2 linked regions of the Notamacropus eugenii genome follow. The protein of the gene in region 2 interacts with the protein of the main gene of each other region in a biochemical or structural test. Links are inferred from orthologs where the notes say so. Each region holds a gene or a part of one and is shown on either strand. Other genes may lie near its edges. The genes, in order: CALR and MBL2.

Region 1 (10,950 bases), on a different chromosome or scaffold from region 2:
GAAGAATAGAAACTTTATGTAATAATGCAGAGTAGTACAGAGCCAGAATTCATATGCTGATGATAAAAATAACTCTAAAAGAAAAAAGCACTTTTATCAATGAAATTACCAGTGATAACTGTAGAAAACTTGGAGCAGGCTTCCCTTCAAAGAGTGGACAGACTGGTACAGAATGAATATACATTTTCAGACACTGCTATTATGTGAATTTTTTTCCCTTGACTCTGTTACCAGGGAGGGTAGAGAGCTTTGTATTGGGAGTGGTGGCTAGTGATACTGATGGGAAAGAAAATTTTAAAGACTCAATAAAAAAATAAGTTACCCAGAAGAAAGAAGTTAGGTGGTAAAGGTTCTGACAGTGTTATTATTACGTTAAATCTTACTTATAAACTCAAAACTGAATAGTTACTGTTAACAGGTCCTCCCAAAAAGCTTTCCTTCATAATCCAGTCTTTTGGCTCCTGGAGAGAGGCCATGGACCAGGATCTCTCCTGTTGTTTGGAACTCTGAGCCCTACAGCACAGGTGGGGAAAAGAAGCTGACCAGAGGCACAGAGGCCATCTTCTCTGGCCAGAGCAGCCACTAGACAGACACTTCACACTGACCAGAACCCCAGGGATCTATCTGTTCCACCCCACTAGCTTAGGGCTGGGCAGCAGTTCAGAAAACTGAGAAGCTTACACTGCTCCCCTCTCCAAGAAATCAAACACATGAGGGAGACACAAAACTTAATTTAATAGAAATTTCTTTTTTTGTTGTTCTTACATTCTCAATGTGACCAAGCAAGAACTGACAACCCCTCCCTAACCCTCCCCCCCACAACAGGGGCTCTGCCCCCACCCCTGCCCTCAGCCCAGGCAGAGGGGAAAAAAGGGAGCAAAGAGTTTGGCTTAGGCACTGTTGGCCAAACCCTAGCCCCCCTCAGTGCTATGGGATACCTAAGGGCAGGGCCAGGCTGACTGACCCCCCTCCTCCTCCTCTCTGGCTCCTGAGGATGGGGTAAAAACAGAGGAGCCAGGACTTGAGGCCAGTTGGGGAAAGGAGGCAGCTTAGTATCGGAAGTCTCTATCCCTGGGTAGTCAACAGGGAGGCTGAGCATCCATGCAGAGTGACACCTTGGATCCCCATGCCCCTGAGCCCATGGCTGAAGGGTGCCCCCCACTATCTGCCATTCCCAAGAGGCTCTTGAGGGCAGAGGGACCTGAGGGAGAGTGGATGAAACCGACACCAGTTTAAAAAACAACAAAAACAAAAACCCACCCAGCCCCAAACAACCCCACCTATTGGAAACAGTTCTCCAGTCTCATAGAGACATTAGTTGGCTCCTGGCCTGGCCCCCCAGGGTGCTTCCAGCCTCAGTCCTGGCCCCTACAGCTCATCCTTGGGCTGGGCACCATCCTCATCTTCCTCATCGTCCTTCTCGTCCTCTTCTTCATCCTCCCTGTCCTCCTCATCTTTGTCCTCTCCGGCCTCTTCTTCCTCCTTCAGCTTCTTTTCCTCTTCCTCCTCACGCTGCCGTTCTGCCTCATCCTGCTGTTCCTTCATCTTCTTCTCAGCCTCCTGCCAGATGCACACACCCCCACCTCAGAGCCTGTTCTCCCACCCCAGGCCCATCCCTGACCCCCAGACTCTGGTATCTGAAAGGAGGGATGGGCTGGAGTAGGAGGCCAGGAAAAGGGCCCCCTCTAGGAGACAGGGTCCTCCCAGGAATCCTGGTCTTTCCTCACCCCTTGCAAGGAAGGAGGAGTTACCTTTGTGGCCCCCCAGGTCTCTTCACCAAACTCTTCTGCATAGGACTCATCATTGGTGACAAGGAAGTTATCAAAGATGGTACCAGATTTCACCTACAAACAGAGAAAAAGGTGAGAGAGGTGGGGCCAGGACTCTCCACTTTACCCCCTGCAGAGTGCAAAGCAGAGTACCATTCTCCTCACCTGCCACAGGTCCAGGCCCAACACACCAAAGCTGTCATATGCGTAAAGGTTGGGGTCAGGTGTGTACTCAGGATTGTCAATTTCAGGATGCAACCACTTGCCCTTGTAGTCAGGATTGTCAATCTGTCGGGGCTTCCATTCACCCTAGAGAGGAGATTGGGAAAATTGGAAAGGTCAAACATGGGCTGCCATCCCATTGTCCTCATACTCCCCAGACCCCATCTGGCAACTGGCTGGGAAGCCTCACCTTGTACTCAGGGTTCTGGATCACTGGTGGCTCCCACTCCCCATCCATCTCTTCATCCCAGTCCTCAGGCTTCTGAGCATCAGGGTCAGGAATGTGTTCAGGTTTCTCCCAGTCCTTGGGATCAATAAGTAAATGTAATCAGACCTCTAGAAACCCTTTTTCTCCCAGTTGGGGGGTTGGGGGAAAGGGGAATGGGAAAGGATGGATGGTCACTGGACAGGGATTAGCCATGAAGAATTCCCAAATGCAAGCAACCTACATCTGGCTTTGTGTCTGTGGGGTCATCAATCTTGGCTCGCTCATCCCAGTCCTCAGGCTTCTTGGCCTCAGGATCTTTGATTTTCTTCGGAGGCAGGAAGTCCCAGTCATCTTCCATCGAGCCTGATTCTACTTGAACATTGTCTATCTTCACTTCATATGTGTTGTCTGGCCGAACAATCAGGGTGTACAGGTGGGTGAACTCATCATCCTATGGGAGGACAACAGTTATGAAGGAACCAAGGTCTCACAGGTCTTGGACCCTTCCCTCTGCCTCACCATCTGTTAGGTAGTTTACCTTGCATCGAATGTCCTTATTGATCAGCATGTTCTTGCCTTTGTAGTTAAAGATAACATGAACCTTCTTGGTTCCTGGGCCGCATATGTCAGGGCCTGAAGAAGGAATGGGGAAACTGATCAAAGAATCCAGGACTCCTGTCTCCCAGTTCCCCAAAGCCACTATGAAGGGCAAGTGGGAAGGAAGGACCCTAGGGTCAAGTCACCTTCCTTCCTCAATCCTTAGTTTCCCACTGATGAGATGGTCAATCTCAGACTCTCATTTTAGGGACTCCCAGAACCACAGAAGGAAGGGACAACAGCCAGTCCTATGGACACTTACCAAACATGATGTTGTACTCTGAGTCTCCATGCATGCTAGCCTGGTCTAGGCTAGCAGGGAACAGCTTCACATAACCACCACCACAGTCAATGTTCTGCTCATGTTTCACAGTGAACTGCACCACCAGCGTCTGGCCCTTGTTGCTGAAGGGCTCCATGCGTGAGGACAGAGCATAGAAGCGGGCATCCTGGCTTGTCTGCAGCCCTACAGGCATGGTGAGAAAGTTGTCCCCAAGGTAAGTAAGGGGTATCCTGCCTCATCACTCACGGTTCTTCCCTACCAGCAGCCACTCACACTGAGTCTTCTGTCCCAGGTCCAATTCAATCCTGACCAACCCCCTTGCATGGATACAGCCTCAATGGAATCAGAGGAAATTTCAGAGTTGGTAGGGAGATTTAAACCTAACCCTTTCCCTCTTTATGGATGAGGAAATCGAGGCCTAAATGAAAAGTACTTCTCCAATATCACATCTCTGGCAGGAGGCAGCCCCTCACCTTTGTCCTTCTCTTCATCACCGTAGAACTTCCCGGACGAGAGCCTAAACTTGCCATAGTCACTCTTGTGCTTGGATTCCACCCAACGATCTTCCCAACCCTCTGAGGAGAGAAGGGGGTTAGTGTCCTCATGTTCCCCAACACTGGGGAAGTACAACATGTGAGAAGAGTCTGTGATCATCTTTCTATCCCTGTCCATCAAAACCTAGCTTTCCAAGGGACTCACTCATTCTAGGTACCAGCTGCTAAGGAAAGGCCCCTCCAGAAACCATCTCCAACTAAACAACACAGTCTCGGGCTACCAAAATGTTCGAGATGGAAAAGGACCTTTTAAAGGACACCCAATCTAAACCCTTTCGTTTTGTGAATGGGGAAATTGACCCTCTCCCAAAAAAGAAAAGGGTTTATACAAGGTCAGCAAAGCACGGAGGCAGGATTTAGGGCTGAAATGCCACCCGGGGGCCTTCTGGTCCAGCCTCTTCATTTTACAGTGAATGAAAGCAAAGACTCAGAAATTAAGTGATTTGCCTGGCACCTCGCTTTATGCATTCATAAGGGCATGTTTTAACTCTCCAGGAACCAACCCCGCCCCCTCACCTCCACCCCAGGTTTCCGGGGGCACTGACGATATCAGAAGCAAAGAGAGGGTGAAAGGTTCCAAGCTTCAGACCGGGCCCCGGGGGTCTCTGCCCAGTGGACCCTCTCTGCCCCTCATTTCCCCTCCCCCACCCCCAAGTATCAGGCTTAGAACAGGCTGGGGAAAGGGTCGAGGGAGAGGGCAAGCCCGTGGTCGGCTGCAGGAGGGACAAAGGTCCCGGGGACCCAATGTTGGACACCCTTGAGGCTAATGGAGGAAGAGGGGCCCCCGGGGAGGGCTGTAGCCACCACACCGGGGAGGCAGCGCTGTCCCAAGGGGAGCGGACTCCCGGCGGCCGTAGCGCCTCCCACGCCGCTAGGATGACAAGAGGGACCCGGGCACGACCCCCTCCCCTCCCCCCGGGACAGCAGCGGCTGGAGCGGGTGCGCGCGGCCCCTCCAACGTCCCCCCACCCCAGCAGGAGGCACTCTAGGCGGGCTAGGCGCTCGGGAGGGCCCGGGGAGCCCCGGACGGGGCGGGACCGCAGGCCCGGGCGCCCCTCGTTTACCTCCGTCGAGGAACTGCTCCTTGAAATAGACCACAGGCTCAGCGGCCTCCGCCAGGCCTAGCAGGCCCAGAAGCAGGAGAGGCAGCATGACGGGAAGGGTCAGGTAGGGGCGGCGGGGATCGGGTACGGACACAGAATCCGCAGACGACAGCACTACTCCGGCTCTGCAGTAGGGACAGCCGCCGCCGACCACCGACCGCCTTTATACCCGGCCCCCCTCAAACCAACACCGCCCAGCCCGTGTTCCCGCCCCCTCAGCATGTCCATTGGCTGCGGGACCCGCAAGGCCCCTCCCGATTGGCCCCGAGCCGGCGCAGCACTTTAGGCTGCACCTCGGAACGCTGGGTTCCCAGATGGCCGCTTTCTATTGGCCGTAGCCACGAGCCAATGAGGAACGACCACGCGTTGTGGGGGGGACGCCTACAGCACTTCCAGAAGGGGGAGGGAAGCAGGGACCCGGTTCGAATCACGTGATAAGCTGGCCAGACTCTTCCCACCCTTTCCCCCCAAATCTCCTGTCTGCAGTTTACTCCCCTTATTCACCGTTTCTTAAAGGTCGGGGCCTAAGAGAAGTGGATAACTCCCGACTCCCCCAACCCCAGGCCCCTCTCCGGAGCTTCCAGCAATCCTTCGGCTCAGGAAAGATGCCCTCCTTGTGCCAGGACCCCCCCTTTCCCCCGCCTCCCCCGTGGGGTCCCAGCCTCAGTCTTCAACCCCGCTGGCCAGCAGTACTTCCCCAGGGACCTTCCCTGTAGCAGCATCCACATGACCCTTGGGGTCCTATCTCAACCTCCCAAGCTGGAAGCACCGTCCCCAGCCCTGCTGCAAGCCCCAAAGGTTTCATCCACCCACAAGCGTAAACGGTGCCAGGTCAGATCCTGGGTGGACAAAGGGACAGAACCACCATAACTGACCACAAGGGTGCTGCTCAGAAGTATGAGGTCAAGCCCCACCTGGGTGACCTCGGTCCTGTCATTTGGCTTTCAGACTCAGGTTTAACTAGAATTTACACCAGGCTCTCAGTGTGAAGATTGATTCTTGGGAAGAGTCTGAGGAGTGATTGTCTAATGTGACTGTGGCAGGACAGGACAAAACTTAGTAGGGTGCATAGAATTTCAGACAGAGTCAGATGACCTCAGTTCAAATGGAAGGAATCTCATTTTTCGTATAAGGAAATATATACAGGAAGCAAAGCACTTGTTTCAAGACCACCACACAGAAAGTAACAAGGTGAAATTGAAACAAAAATTGTCTGGATTGGAAAATCCCTGACTCTATGACCATGCTAGTTCTATCCCAGGTGTACTTAGAGCCTTGTGACCTTGGGCAACTCCCTGTCCTCTTTGGAACTTAATTTCCTCATATGTAAAATGAAGGTTCGGATTAGCTGCTGTCACAGACTCCTAGAGTAGGATTAGAGTTCAGAGGTGACCTAATCCAATACATATCTGAACAATACTCTCCACAATATTTTTGAGTAGTGATCATCTCATTGTAATTTGAGCCGCTTTCTCCAAGTTTTGATGTAGTAACACTTTTAGGTCTTGGCTCCTTCTTCAGCTACCAGAAGCCTGCCTCGGGGCTAACCGAGGAATCCTCTGTGTGGCTCCTCTATCCTTATGCAACCAGCCTTTGTACTTGAGGGGATAGGGGCAAATGGGCACTGTGGTTTTGTACCCAAACTGTACAAACTGCTGAGGTTTTGTAACCCAAACGGATTGGCCTGGTTGAGTTGGGGGCTGGGGAGCCAGAGAAGGAAAAAGTGGCAGAGTGTGTTGGCAAGATAAGGTCTGGGAGGGGAATGAAAGAGACTCAACTGTCATAAGGGACCCCTTCTGGCAACAGCTATAATTCCTTTCCTCAAGTTCAGAGCTGAGCCCTCAGGAATCAACCAATCAATATTTATTAATTGTCTACAGCTTGGTAGGCACTGGGGAATCAGGAAGAATGAAACAATCCCTACATCCAGTAAATAGGAAGAAGAAAAGAGGCCCAGTGCCAGCCATACCTGTTCCTCTAAGACATATAGTCTCTTGGAGGTTTGTCAGAACTTAAGGCTGGCAATCAGACTTCTGAGCTCAGCCTCAGACAATACGACAGTGACAGTGTGCTCTCCTGGGTTAAAGCATTCAGGATGGTACTCCAGTTTTTTTAGGATTTAATGTTGGAAGGCACCTTAGTTCAATTTATCCATTTTATAAATGAGGAAACTAAGGCTGACAAGGACAAATGAACTGTCCAATGTTACACAGGTAACAGGTCCAGGATTTGTTATCTAGCTAAGTTTTCTGAATCCAAATGTAGTGTTCTACTGTACCATGCTGCCTCTGAGAATTCAGTCTGGGGTTGGAAGCTTCGAGGTGAGGCGGAGAAATTCACACTCAACATCAAGAGGTTGTGCCAGGATAAATTACAATAATTTACAGTAAACTATAAGAGAGGGAACAATTTGGGGAAAAAACTCATTAGTTCAAGAGGAAGAGTGGCCATGGGACAAGAAAGAACAGATGATCAGGTAAGTCCAAGAGTCAGTTCCTGACCAGGACTAGGTGAGGAGAACTGAATCGAGTTCTTAAAGATAAGGAAAAGAGAAAACAGTGGTTTGGACTAGTGAGTGGCAGGATCTTTTAGATAAAAGCAAAAAAACCAAAAAGGTCACTAGGTTGGGGGAGGGATAGCTCCAGGGCCTGAGGGCCTCTTCCTTCCAACTGTATTCTAACATGACTGGCTGGTTCCACAGGGTAGGTGTGAGAGGATGAGTGGAGCAGGGATGGGGAACCTTCCACCTCAAGGTCACATGTGACCCTCTAGGTCCTCAGGTGGGGCACTTTGACTGAATCCAAACTTCACAAAACAAATTCCCTTAATAAAAGGATTTGTTCTGTAAAACTTGGACTCAGTCAAAAGGCCACACCCAAGGACCTAGAAGGCCCTGGTGGAGCTTCAAAGCAAGAGGTATGAGAACTCTTATTAGACCTTCCCAGAGACTCAAGTTGAGTCCACCCAAAGGCAGTGTTGTCAGAGGAGCAGAGCTCTAATACTAGCTCTACCTATGCTATTTTTGTTTAGTCATCTTTAGTCTGGGTCTCTAGTTCCTTACTGGTCATAAACTGAGCATTCCTCATCCAGATGTTAATAACTGCACTAACTACATCCCAGAGTTGTTCTAAGGAAAAGTGCATGGCAGACTTAAAGTATTATAGAAATGTAAGTTGTTATGATTGTAAATATTAAGATAATAAGGACTAGAAGGTCTTGTTAACTCTCTATGAGTATAGGTCCTGTCTCCCCAACAATATGGGGGAGAAATGGAAAGGGGGTGTTTATAATAAAAAGAGCCAAGTTTGAGCATGAGCAAAACTCAGTTCTGGTCTTAGCTATGCTGTAAGACCTTGTCAATTGACTCCTTTCTCTCTGTGGCTATTTCCCCATCCTTCAAATTCAACTCAATTCAACACAAATTATACAAATGCATACAATGTGCAAGGCCCTGACCATAAATAACCTTTGAATCCTGCTAACCCAACATCACTAATATGGTTTTTAAGTGAAATTACAAAGACCTTAGTTTTTCATCTATAAAACAAGAGGGTCGGATTCCATGGCCTCCGAGGCCCCTTCCAGCTTAGTGATCATAGTGGAAAAGTATTTCAGAAACTTCAAAATGCCTTAACAGCCATAATTCTCTCCTCCCCTTAACCCACCAGGTACCAAACACAGGTCCAGGCACACAGTAGGTAGTCAGTACAGACAGTTCTTGCTTTAGATAAGTGGACTCTTTGACAGACTTCTTATGTAAATCGATTTTTATATAATGTCAATTTGTCCCTACCTACCCAATTCAGTTAGGTATATGCAAAATAATGCTTTACATGTCACAAACTATACTAAAATGCAGATATATTAGATGTTATACTAAAATGCTGATATATTAGACATTATACCATGATAATAAACAGAATTATAAAATGAAAGGGAACATTAATGATAAAATATGCACAGTACTATTCAATCAAGTTAACCAAAAGTTTGAGCAACTTTTTTAATGAAACTATCAAGAGATGTTTAGACAGTGCTCTACATGGGATGATGGCAAGCCATACCATCCTCAACTAGTCTTTGAACTTTTAAAAATCTCGGAGTAATTGGATCCCTCGTTTCAATACGGGGGAAAAAAATCACTCAAATGATGCAAACCATTTCATGGCACTCTTTTTTGGTTCATTCAGCCTTGGGTTCCAAAGCCTCCCTTTCTTCTTTTGCCATCTTTACAGCTAGCAGCTCAATCAGTTTCTTTCAAAATTCTTTACTAAAGTCTAATTTCCAATGCACATATCCCCAAAGCTAGAACTGTCCCGGTTGTAACAAAAATCCCTCAAAGCATCAGAATTCAGAGAAATTCCATGAAAACAACCATCCTCATTTCTGTAGCGTTTCAAAGTTTACAAAGCACAAGGACTTTGGGACGAGGGTAGGAAAGGGATTATTTTATTGAAGGTATGGGGAGCGGGAGAGGACCTTAGGGCCCCTGGGCATTCAGAGGTCACACGGAGGGAGGCAAGCTAGGCGGCCATAGGTGTCAGGCCCCCCGCCTGCCCCGGGCCAGGCCCGGCTTGGTTTTTTTTGTGGCATCGCCGCTGCCCTGGGGTTCCGGGGGCTTGCACAGGCCCAGGCCTAGGTGAGGCTCTCTGCCGGCCTATTCTGAGCGGGGCCTGGGGGCCGGGGCCGGGGTCGGGGCCCGGGCCCGCGGTGCGGTCCGGGTCAGGCCCGCCCTAGCTGTGAGGCCCTGGCAGTCACCCCTGCCTTCTCCTGGCCCAGAGGCGCCGGCTCCTTGGCCTGGGAATTCGTGAGTTACCCTGTAGGGTCCCAGGTTGGAGAAGGTCAGCGAGGGCTTTGGCGGCCGTGGGGCTCGGCACGACCCAGGAAGTCGGGGCTGGGGCCCAGCGAGGAAGGGCTGCCCGTCCCCTCTCGGCGGGTCTTCCACTCTGACTCCGCCGCCCCTCCGACCCTGCCCTACTCCTTTCCCCTTCTTCGTCCTAGCCCAGCTTTAGCGCATCTGCCTCACCCAAGATGGCGGCCCGTGCCGAAGACTTGGCTCACGCCACACCCAAGGTGGCGGGCCCCGCTCTTCCGGGCGGCCGCGCTTCCGGTTCCGGTGCGTTTCTCCTCATCCTCACGGCGCAGACATGGCTGACGGGTCCGTTGCTCAGTTGCTTTTGCAGCGGCTGGAGTGCGGCGATGGCGGCCTGGACAGCCTGGAGCTGGCGAGCGCTCTGGGCTTGGAGCACCAGGTCGTGGTGGGCGCTGTCAAAAGCCTGCAGGCGCTGGGGGAGGTAAGGCGGTGCGGAGTCTGCCAGTTTGGGTCGGCTGATGCAACCGGGCAGGGGACCAGGCAGAAGGAGCAGCCGCGTCCTGGGCATGGAGCCGGGGATGGGGCAGGAAGAGGGGATGTACTTAGGGGTGGAGGGCCAGGGACGGGGCAGGAGGAGGGGCTGCACTTAGGGGTGAGGGCCAGGGATGGGGCAGGAGGAGGGGCTGCACTTAGGGGTGGAGGGCCAGGGATGGGGCAGGAGGAGGGGCTGCACTTAGGGGTGAGGGCCAGGGATGGGGAAGAAGGAGGGGCTGCACTTAGGGGTGGAGGGCCAGGGATGGGGCAGGAGGAGGGGCTGCACTTAGGGGTGAGGGCCAGGGATGGGGAAGAAGGAGGGGCTGCACTTAGGGGTGGAGGGCCAGGGATGGGGCAGGAGGAGGGGCTGCACTTAGGGGTGAGGGCCAGGGATGGGGCAGGAGGAGGGGCTGCACTTAGGGGTGGAGGGCCAGGGATGGGGCAGGAGGAGGGGCTGCACTTAGGGGTGAGGGCCAGGGATGGGGCAGGAGGAGGGGCTGCACTTAGGGGTGAGGGCCAGGGATGGGGCAGGAGGAGGGGCTGCACTTAGGGGTGAGGGCCAGGGATGGGGCAGGAGGAGGGGCTGCACTTAGGGGTGGAGGGCCAGGGATGGGGCAGGAGGAGGGGCTGCACTTAGGGGTGAGGGCCAGGGATGGGGCAGGAGGAGGGGCTGCACTTAGGGGTGAGGGCCAGGGATGGGGCAGGAGGAGGGGCTGCACTTAGGGGTGAGGGCCAGGGATGGGGCAGGAGGAGGGGCTGCACTTAGGGGTGAGGGCCAGGGATGGGGCAGGAGGAGGGGCTGCACTTAGGGGTGAGGGCCAGGGATGGGGCAGGAGGAGGGGCTGCTCTTAGGGGAGGAGAGCCAGG
Region 2 (11,263 bases):
TTCAACACCAATGCCATCACCCTCACCCACCCCACCTATCCAATTACTTTATTGCCAAATCTTGTCATTTTTTACCTTTACTATACCTCTCACATAGTTCCCCTCCTTTCCTTCCATATAGTCACATCCCTAGCACAGTCCCTGTCTCACCTGGACTCTTTCAAAAGTCATGTACTTAGCTCTTTAAAGGTTTTTTCCCCACTTGCCTGGCAACTCCTTGGGAGCAAAGACTGTTGTTGCATGTAGATTTTGTCTATAGCCCTAGAACGTAGCACGTTCCTGACACATATGCTTGTTTCCCAGACCCACTGAATCAATATTTATTAAGCACTGGGTTAGGCATGAGGGATACAAGACAAAAATATAACAATCTCTACTTTCAAGAAGCTTTCTTTATTGACATACTCATGAATATGTAGATATCTAAAACGTATACAAAGTAAATAGGTATATGTATATTTGAGAGGAGATACCAGCAGCTAAGGGGAATCAGGAAAGGTTTCAAATGAAAGGGACCACTTGAGTAGATTTTGAAGTAGAAGAATTCTTAGTGGTAGCAGTGAAGTGGCAAAAAACCTCCAGGCACGGGATATAGCCAATGCAAAGGCATAGAGAGAGAAAAGGGAATGTCGTACGTGAGGAGCAGTGAAAGGGTCGATTTGACTGCATGGAAGGGAAATAATGTGTAATAAGGTTAGAAAGGTAGATTGGATTAGGTCTTTGCGAAAGTCTTTGAAAGTCAAACAGAATTTTACATTTGATTCTAAAGGTAACAGAGAGTTGATGGAGTTTATTGAGGAGAGGAGTTCATGGTGAGACCTTCACTTTAGGAAAATGCCTTTGGCAGCTGTGTGGAGGACAGATTGGAATGAGGGGAGACTTGCAGCAGGATGACCAACTAAGAGCTTATCTCAATAGAGCAGTGAAAGGTACTAAAGTCCTGAGCTAGTGTTTAATACACGTTACTATGTCCAAGGCATTACACTGGGATACATTAGATGACCTCTGAGTTCCTTCCACCTCAAAGATTCTATGATTTGGGGGAAAATTTGTGATGACCTTGGTCAATTTTACTAAGAAAGGTTGAGGATTCTCTCTCCCTTCCTGTTCCTATTGACAGGTTTAGTTTGTTTTCTATTAAATCACTGATTCCTGAATATTTCCCATTGCCTGAATTGTCTTAAAGTTCAGTTCACTGTCTGGCTCCTTGATACCCCAACAGCTACAGGAAAATTACTTGAATGGGATCAACCCCTCCAATCATCTGCTATTTGATTGTTTTCAGGAATAATTACTCAACTCTATTTCCAGATGAAAGCTGAGACAGGATGTCCAGCTAAATCATGAAAAATGTGTTAGGAAGAATATGTACATGCATTGATGTATATGCATGTGTGTATGCTTGTGTAGGATATTTCTATAACTGCTGAAAACTGAGACCTACTTTGGACTCTGATCTTTAAAAATTTTTTTATGGATAACTTTTGTTTTAAAATTTCTTACATTTTCTAATGTATCCCTCCTGCCTGTCTTTCCCAAAGAAGCATCACTTGTAGCGTAGAATAATAAATAAAATGCAGAAAAAGGGAAAAAAGGTCAGCCAAATTAAACACTGTATTTTAAAAAGTCTAATACTATATGCGGTGTTATACACACACAGTTTCTTCTGCAATGAAACAGGGGTAGGAAAGGGGAAAAGTGTTGGGTCATAGAGGAGGCTTTACCAATAGAAGGGGACATTGGACTGTACTGCTAATAGGATATTTGGAAGAGGGATCATCTGCTTACTGGATCTGAGCCCTAAATCCCTAAATGGCCTCCTCCTGGCTAGGGCCAGTACAAAGAAGATAGAGCCTTACCTGAGCTGTCTCCTGTATCTCCTTTCATGCCTGCTGGTCCTGGAAATCCTTGTGGCCCTGGGTGCCCTGGAGGTCCCATTTTCCCTGGAGGACCCTGGATACCTCTGAGTCCTTGACCTATTATTAGGCAATAAAAACTTATCTTTGTATTCAGTGTTTTAAAAATATTTGAAAAACTGAATTTTATTGTTAGTTTTTGTTTTATATGTGGTCTTTCCCATATATACCCATTCAACCTCCCTATTACCTACCAAGATCCCTTTCTTGAAACAAAGAAAGTTGTGGTTCCAATTACGTGGGACAAGCAAAGCCTTTTAAAAAATGATTCTATTTTGTGACAGAAATAATCATATGTGTGTGCTTCTAATGACACCAGACTAAGTTTTACCTTGACCAAATGGACACAAGGTAAGCTGATTTCTCCACTTTGATTTTTGTTAGCTGAATAGTGGATCTGGGACATACATCTTTCATTATTCTCTTGTGTTTTTAATTCTGTAGAATTTTTAAAGAAGGGCTATTCCTTCATGGAAACTTGTAAAAAGTGTAGCTGTCAAGGATCACACTTCAATAACTATTAAAAGTATTGATGACAGGGGTATGGGAAAGTCATGCATTTCAAGCATTTTTCAAATCCACAAGAAATAAGAGCAGTCTCAACAAAGCACAAATGGTAGTGAAGTCCAAATGAAAAATAATGCTAACAGCTGACAAAATGTTGCTGTAAAATAACTTGATTATTCCTCAGAAAATAAGTAAAAAGCTTTGTAGGAATCTCTTGACTAAAAGGATTGTTTTCAATCTTTCTATAGTATGGTGTAGACTTTTTTTAAAGTTGGAAGAACAGTGAAAATCAGTTGCTAACTCTTACTGTCAGTAAAAAATGCTTTTCATGAGCAAAACCATATAAAGACTAATGTACTAAAGATTAGAAAATGTTAATTTTTTACTAATGAACTTATTTTTTCATTCAAGGTCTTTTAATTCCAAATCATTTTCAGAAGTCCAGATAAGCTTGCAAGATCTGGCCATCTTCATCAGACTGTAAAACATTCACTTCCAAAAATACTTGAGGGATTATTTTACATTCAGTAAGCCTAGAAGTTTTGTCCCAACTGAAGAAAATAATAAACTCTGATAATTCTATTGACATACTAGCAAATAGAATTGCTTTGATATTACAGGAATTCCTCAATAGCAATGCAAACTTGTGTCATGCCACAGGTCATGAAAAGCTAAGAAATTTATTCAGAAACTGGAGAGAAATATGCTTCAGTTCCCAAGAACTTGTTTAATTTAAGACCTAGCAAGAATCTGTAGGCTATAATCGAGGCTAGATTTAAAAAAAATGATTATTTTACAATTTATATCTAATTCATAAGTATGTTTTCATGAATTAAGAATTCAAGATTATACAGATGAACTCAATGCTAAATTACATGTAACAAAGACTCACAAGAAATGGAGGACATCTTACACATTAAATATTTTTGAAAGACATAAAAGTCTTAAGACATCATATGCCAGGAAATGTAATTACCCAATTAATGAGTATACCACTGTAAGCAAAACCACTTATACAGATGGGTATGCAGTCCCTGAACTCATAGTCCTCTGCTTCTGTGCAAAATGGAGTGAAATGAGCAAAAAATATTTCACTGTGATCTATATGTGGACACCTTAGGAGGATATAAAACAAACAGGTGATCTCATGAAAGAGTTCCCAGACTTTCTTCCCAGTATTTAGTGTTTACTTTAAATCAAACTAAGCAAGCAGTATTCCATGGGTTTCCCCAAAGTGGGGTGGACTGAGAGATTCTCAAGAGACAGCTTTTGAAAATGGCCCCATATACTGCCTATTTTGATAAAGCGCCAACATAATCCTTCCTTTGACTTCTTGGAAACTGGGGTGTCAGATTACCAGAGCTAGATAAATAGAACTTCTCTGATCATCTCACTCTCTTGTTAGAGGAAAAGTTTTTGGACAGAGATTGAATCTAGAGAAACAATTCAACATCACTGATAAATATGACCTCATATGTTGAGTCTGAACTCTTAGAAGAGGCAACCATCACATGGGATCACCTGGTGGAAATGAAGACTCAGGGAGAAGGATCCCAATTAGCATGTACCTGGTTCTCCTTTTTCTCCCTTGAGCCCATCTCTTCCATCTTTTCCAGGAGCCCCATTTGCCCCAGGGGTACCACAAGAGACCACGGAGCAGCAGGTCTGCTCGGTCGTCTCACTCAAAATTGGCTCTGAGTAGACAGCCATGATGATGAGGAGGAGTGGGAACCAGGAAAAGTCAATCATTCTTCAAACCTTGGAAGGGTAGAAACTTGAGGTCAATTGATTTAGAAAGAAAAATGGCAGGGATTTTCAACCAGCCTCACTCTTATCCTTCTTGCTATTGTCTCCTCCTGGTGGTGCTGCCACCAGCTGTCTCTTTTCCCTCCAAAACAGCCAGTTTCACTGCTTTGGATCCTGTCAGTCTCTTGTTTTATTGTGTTTTATTGACTCCCCATTGTCTTCAAGATTAATCAATCCAAACTGATTTGGAAATCATTATACAAGGGAGTCCCCACCCTAATTATCCTGACTTCTTTCCCATTCTGTCTGAATGAGAACTCTCCATTAAAGACAGACACATCTCTTGCCTTTCCAACCCATATGATGTATACTCATTACCCTCACTGCCCAGATTAGTCTGACTGCTTTCTTCTACATGCCCTCTATTTCCTAGGATCCTCTATAGTGCCTAGCACAGGACTGGACATACAAAATTAATAATAAAATAAAATTTTAAAAATCTTGATATACAAAATCCTTCCCTCTCTCCTTCCCTTCCTCTGTCCCTCTCTTCCTCCCTTCCTCCCTCCCTTCCTTCCTTCCCTCCCTTCCTCCCTCCATCCCTCCCTTCCTTTCTTCCTTTCCATCTCTTCTCCCTTTTTCTTACTTTGTTCATTCCCACCTATGGTTCAAACCTGCAAAAAGTTTTGTAAATCTTGTTTGTCCTTGCCAGGAAGTCCACAGGGTGAGGGTGGGAAAGTTGCTAACCCTTCAGTAGGAGACCAAATAATTCTATGTCCCTTTTTATTTTGCCTGAACCAGATCTGGCCTATTTCTAAAGAATGCCATACTTCCAAAGGAACCAAGGGACCTAAAAGGAGATGAGGAATATCAAAATAGAAAGACCTTTAATCATAACTCTAGTTGATTGAAACATTGCCTGAAAATCTATTGGAAAGTCCCTTTCCTGGAATCAAGTTAAACATACAGATCTTTGACCCCAGTTCCACAGGCTGTATTTCTGATCAGAAACTTACCTGACATACAACAGGAAAGAGATAACAGAACAGAGTGTCCTCTAGTTTAACCCAGAGAAGACGGGAAGAGGCTGGATTCAACAAGATATAAAGAATCACTCTGTTTACATGGTAGAGGTCTGTCCTTGTTTTGCTTCCACAGATTAATAAGCAACTGAATCAAATATCCAGCTGTTATTCTCATTGCTCCCAATGGATAATGACAGATTGAGACAGAATCACAGAGACAGAATTTCAGAGCCTGCAACACATACCTAAAAATGAGTTCCCTCAACAACATACTTGAAAAGTGGTTAGTTAGCTTTTCATGAAGACCTTCAATGAAGGGAAGTCCTTTATTGCCCAAGACAGTCCATTGCATTTTTTAGTAACATACTATTAGTAAACTTTTCCTAACTCTTCTCTCTGGGATCAGTCTAAGCTTCCACATGACAGTCTTTTTTGTGTAACAAATAAATAACTATCCCATACCTGATTCCTATTTCCACCTTTGGGGAGACCCTAGATGAGATGAATCTGAGCCAAAACTAAAAACTTTAAATGCTAGAGTGGGGTACAAAATGAACCAAAGAGTATGAGAAATGGGATTCTAACTTCTCTCATTAGAGGCAGGGTTTTCCAAGGCTGATGCTGTTTGGACCATGTGCACAGGTCCATAGGGGTCCCTTAGTGCAAAAAAGAGAAAATGCTATGCCCAAACCTGGGGGCTCCAACCCTAGGTTGTTAATGTTAAATTGTGAATTTAACAAACCATAAAGGAACATGAACATTTCTATGTACAAAGAACAAAAAAGAGGATGGTGTAGGAAACTGTGAACTGTTACGTATGTTTTCAAAGTATATATTAAATTTAACACAATAACAACAAAACTTCCTGCTATTAAGCTATTATCCCTATTAACCTATGTATCTTTCTCTCTTCTATGTTTATTTTTAGGGCTTCATTGATGGACTTTTCTTTCTTTTCTTATATTTTTTATCACTGCCCCCACCGCCCCACTTCTCTATGTACTACCAAAGCCCTTTCTTGTAAACAGTAAGTATAGCCCATCAAAATAAAACAAGACAACTTTTTTTGAGAAATTTGCTCCAAAGATTCCACCCAGTGAGCTGTTTCCTTAATAATTCTAACTTGAATAATCAAAACTTTTTTTGGTGCAAGTTCTCAGTTTTAAGGAACAACAAATGTCTATTTTTAATCTTTTATGATCACCTCTAATCCTTGTTTAATTAAGAATTCTTCCTTCTATTCATGGTTTTGAAAGGTATATATTTCTTTCCTCTTTCTTCTCTGGTTTACAATATAACCTTTTATATTCATATTTTAAGTCATATAACCCTTTGGAGCTTATTGTTATACATAACGTGAACTGTGACTTTTAGGACAGGATCTTTTCTTGGATTTTGACTTCTAAACTTCTAGGTGTTTTGACTGCCTCTTTTCTTCTTATGAGGTAGCTATTTTCTACAGTATCTACACTGGTGAATATCAACCAGTTTTTATTTCCCTCTTTTCAGTTTACAGCCCTTTAGATTAGACTTAAAAGAAGTAACATGGTATAGTGGACAGAGAACTAGCCTCAAAGTCAAGCAGACCCAAAATCAAATCCGGCCTCTGATACATAACTGGCTATGCGACTCTGGACAAGTCACTTAACTAGAGCATGGACTCTAAGCAATTCTCCAAGACCCTAAATTACAAATAAGGTGCTGACCTGCACTGATAGAAGGAATTTCATCACCTGGGAGTTCCCTATACCAATGAGATCACAGGTGGAATACCTCTCTCCTTTGAATAGACTCTCAATACCCTAGCCAAATCGAGTGAGTTCTTGTTAGGTGTATGTCTGGCCTGAAGCCTCTCATTCCTATTTGTTAAGCTTTGGTCTAAAAACCCCATTCAAATTCTGGGATACGATCATCTTTCATTATACCACACACACATATATTTAGCTTTTATTTATTATTTTATTTTTCCCCAGTTGCATCAAATTTTTTTAACATTTGTTTTTAAAACTATGAGTTTAAAACTTTTGTTTTACAACTTTTAAAAAAACTTTGAGTTCCAAATTCTTTCCCTTCCTTTCCCACTCATAGAAAAGGCAAGCAATCGAATATAGGCAAAACATATCCATAATAGTCACGTTGTGAAAGAAAACATACACAAAAAACTCAAGAAAAATAAAGTTAAAAAGTATACTTCAATCTGTATTCAGACATTATCAGTTCTTTCTCTGGGGATGGATAGCATTTTTCATCATCAGTCCTTCAGAGTTGTCCTGGATTGCTGTATTCTGAGAATAGCTAAGTCATTCACAGCTGATTATCTTACAATATTGCTATTACTTTGTACACCATGCATTTTACTTTGCATCAACTCATGCAAGTCTTTCCAGATTTTTCAGAGAGCATCCTGGTTATCATTTCTTATAGTACAAAAGTATTCCATTGTAATCACCTACTACAACTTGTTCAGGCATTCCCCAACTGATGGGCTTTTTCTTGACTTTTAATTCTTTAGTCCCAGAAGAGAGGTGCCATGAATATTGTGTGCATATAGGTGATTTTCCCTGTTTTTAAAATCTTTTTTGATCTACAGACCTAGTAGTGGTATTGCTAGGTCAAAGGGTATGCATGGTTTTATAGCCCTTTGGGCATATTTCCAAATTGCTCTATGAAATATTTGAATCAGGTCACAACTCCACCAACAATACATTAATGTCCCTCCAACATTTGTCATTTACCTTTTCTGTCCTGATAGTCAATCTAATAGATATGAGGTAGTACCTCAGAATTGTTTTAATTTGTATTTCTCCAGTCAGTAGTGGCTTAAAGTATGTTTTCATATGACTATAGACACTTTGGGATCTTTCAAAGACTGAAGTCAAATGACTTTGGTTCAAAACTTACCTCTGCTATTTATTATTTGTGTGACCCTGGGTAAATCACTTAACATCACTGAGTCTCAATTTCTTCATTATTAAATAAAGGGGTTGAACTCTACATGGTCTCTCTTTAAAACCTACATACATGACCAAAGGAACTGTGTTCCCTATAGAGCTGAGGAAGGAAAGTGGTAGCCTGCTTTGGGGAATTCAGATACCATCATTCTTTCAGACTATGGTTATCTTTTTCTTTCTTCTTCCCCTCCTGGACCACTAGTTCAGGAAAAGCACCAGCCATTCTTTAATTCACTCCCAACTCTGTCTCCTCCATAGACTTGCCTGCTACCTTCCCTCCTTCTGTCCTTCCCTACAGTTTTCCTTTTCTTTCTCCCCTCCTCCCTCAAAGATGTGTAACTATTAAACATGATCATATCAACTGTTCTAGTGTTCTTGTGTTGGATGTGCCGATTTATTCCCCTGTGACCTCAGTCTATTCATCATCCTTAAAAATTTCTGGACCAAAGCATTCCTCTCTGTTCACTACTCTTTGTGTGTTGCCTCCTTCATTAGATTATAAGAACCTTAAAGGTCTTCACATTCCATTTTTGTATTTCCAGCACATTGCATTGTGCTTGGCACATAGTAAGTGCTAAATAAATGACTTTTTACTCATTGATTCATATATGTCCATATTTCATTGAGCAACCTTTCATAAGAAGTTTAACTTCTTCTCTATAGGAAGAACTTAAAACTGATTGTATTTCAATACCAGAAAGAAGTTGACCTTTAAAGATAAGACATTCTTTCCTCCCTTCCTCTTCTCCATCCTATACATTTTTATATCTATAACAGCATTCTATGGTTTCTTTAATTGAAAGGCTCTTAACTGAGCAACAAAATAAAAAAATAAGTCCTGTTTCTCTCATCTCTCCTTCAAGTCAAGTGCTCCCTCTGGTGGTCTCCCAAGAGGCTCTTGGATTTGTTGCATACAGGTGTATCGATGGTTCTCCTCTACAACAGTTTCATCCTGTGTTTTTTTTCCCCACCAGAACTGTGTAGGGAGATCCTGGTGAGGCATTCCCTCTATAACTGCAGATAGGTATTTTCCATGCAACTAATAGTATTAAAAATTTGAGATTTGAACTACTCAGTATCATACAGATAGTTTGTTGTATATTTTTAAAATTAAATTTTATCTTTTCAATTTACAAAAATACATTTTTCTCCATTCTACCTTCCTCCTCCTCATTAAAAGACAACTCCAACAGAATAAAATCCTTCTAGCAAATACAATAGTGAAAGAATTTCCTCCACTGATCATTCTAAAAAGATATATATGTGTGTATACACACATATGTGTATGTGTGTATACACATACATACATGCATAAACATATATAAATACATATACCCATACATACATTTATATACTTTGATCTCTGCCTTGAATTCATCACCTCTCCACAGCCAATATTTATTAGCAGTACAACTTGAAATCAGTTCTATTTGATGCTGAAGCCAAATCTGATTCTCTCTTGAGCTTAGTCATAGCCCGAATCTTACTAAATCTGTCCAATGTTAATAATGCTCTGCAGTAGAGGACACTATGGGCAGGAGTCACTATGGTATGAGCTAAATTCGACCTAGAATGGGATTATTATAGGCACTGTGCTAATCATTTTAAAATATTATTAAATCTGACTCTCACAACAATCTATGAAGTAGGTGATATTATTACCCCCATTATACAGAGGAAGAATCTGAGGCAGAGAGATGTTAAGTGACTTTCCCAAAGTCACACAGTTTCTAAGTGTCTGAGGCCAGATTTCAACTCAGGTGTTCCTGATTCCAGGTTTGGTATTCTATCTATTGTACTACCTAGCTAGAGAGGAAAAGGAAGGAAGGAAGCAAGGAAGGCTGAGAAAATGCACAGTAAAAGCCTGTTTCCATGCTATCCAAATAGCCTATTTTCTGGGAAAGAAAGAAGGCACAGGGAATGAAAGGTCACTGATCAATAGATAGTCAGCAAACATTTCTACAAGTTCTTGATCAGGATGCCTTGGGTAAGAGACAGGTGTCCTTTGCTTCTATAGGAATGTAAGTTTCTCTTCCTCCATCAGTCATAATTTTCCAAAATAGGCAGCCATCGAGTATCTTTTTAGACTTTTTGGTCCTTTGTGCCATGAGGAGTCTTTCTCTATGAAAGATCCTGGATTTCAGGAAAGTTATATAGTTGGAAAAGCTTACCTTTCCCTCTTACATAACCACACTAGCTAGATCATGACTATGAAAGCAAAGGCTAGGATCAAAGTGGGATCCTCTTTTTAGGATGTTTAGTATGACGTGAACCAACCATTATCTCCTCTCATACCCTTTTAACTTCCAGCCTTGGACCTTTGAATTTATCACAGAAACGAAAATGATCAAACTTATCACTTAAAATTTATTTTTATTATAAACTTAACAAATAGAATGGGCATTTCCATATACGTATTGAACTGGAAAAGAAGATTTTTTTATGTAGAATTTGCTTTAAATATACATAAACAAGCATATACATGTATGCATGTCTATATACGTGTATGTCACACATATATAGACATGCATATGTTCACACATTCAGCATGTGACTTTTAAAGTTTTCCTTCTTATCTATAATTCTTTCTGGGCCTTCATTCTGTTCTCTTCTCTTCTATGCACTTAAAAATCTTCAGTGGCACTCTTTTTTTCTTTTTTAACTATCCCATCCTTAATCCCCATCTCTCTCATACTTCCTCAATTGAAAAAAAAATGCTTAGATTTGACTTTATTTGTGCTGATAATGTTTAATATAAAATTTTGGAATAATCTCTTTGTTCTCTCTGAAGCAAACTCAGAGAATGCCGCTTCCTATGTCAACAAAAGCCTGCCAGGGCTGACTTAACATTCCTCAAGAGATCTTTAACCTAAGACACTATCTTGAATAATGGGACATTTTCCATATTTTAATATTTGTAGACATATACTATGTTATGGCATGTTAATGGTAAAGAAAACACAGACATCTTGGGTCGTAATTTCTATGTGAAACTTTGTCAAACTCTGTTATCTTATTGTATTTACAGCCTATGCAATTAAGAAATTCCTTTCTAATGGTCTAGTTAGTCACTTATGGAGATCATAAATCTAAGGGACACAGAACACTTCTTTGTCCT

The links.
Region 1: the proteins of MBL2 (region 2) and CALR form a complex in vitro, tested with the Homo sapiens proteins (2 studies listed by BioGRID and IntAct). The link is inferred for Notamacropus eugenii from reciprocal best matches to the Homo sapiens genes MBL2 and CALR.

The regions. Positions count from the first base shown.
Region 1 is NC_092875.1:77,930,286-77,941,235, forward strand, and holds CALR (calreticulin), read right to left. Parts: upstream 4,954-10,950; 5' UTR 4,786-4,953; coding exon 4,698-4,785; intron 3,655-4,697; coding exon 3,553-3,654; intron 3,263-3,552; coding exon 3,059-3,262; intron 2,833-3,058; coding exon 2,738-2,832; intron 2,651-2,737; coding exon 2,441-2,650; intron 2,296-2,440; coding exon 2,182-2,295; intron 2,079-2,181; coding exon 1,935-2,078; intron 1,845-1,934; coding exon 1,752-1,844; intron 1,561-1,751; coding exon 1,369-1,560; 3' UTR 716-1,368; downstream 1-715. Other genes in the region: FARSA (phenylalanine--tRNA ligase alpha subunit), read left to right, coding at 9,884-10,030. UniProt on the Homo sapiens protein: Calcium-binding chaperone that promotes folding, oligomeric assembly and quality control in the endoplasmic reticulum (ER) via the calreticulin/calnexin cycle.
Region 2 is NC_092872.1:227,505,055-227,516,317, forward strand, and holds the start of MBL2 (mannose-binding protein C), read right to left. Parts: upstream 5,292-11,263; 5' UTR 5,186-5,291; intron 5,043-5,185; exon of another isoform or gene 4,816-5,042; intron 4,182-4,815; 5' UTR 4,173-4,181; coding exon 3,992-4,172; intron 1,977-3,991; coding exon 1,860-1,976; intron 1-1,859. UniProt on the Homo sapiens protein: Calcium-dependent lectin involved in innate immune defense. Binds mannose, fucose and N-acetylglucosamine on different microorganisms and activates the lectin complement pathway.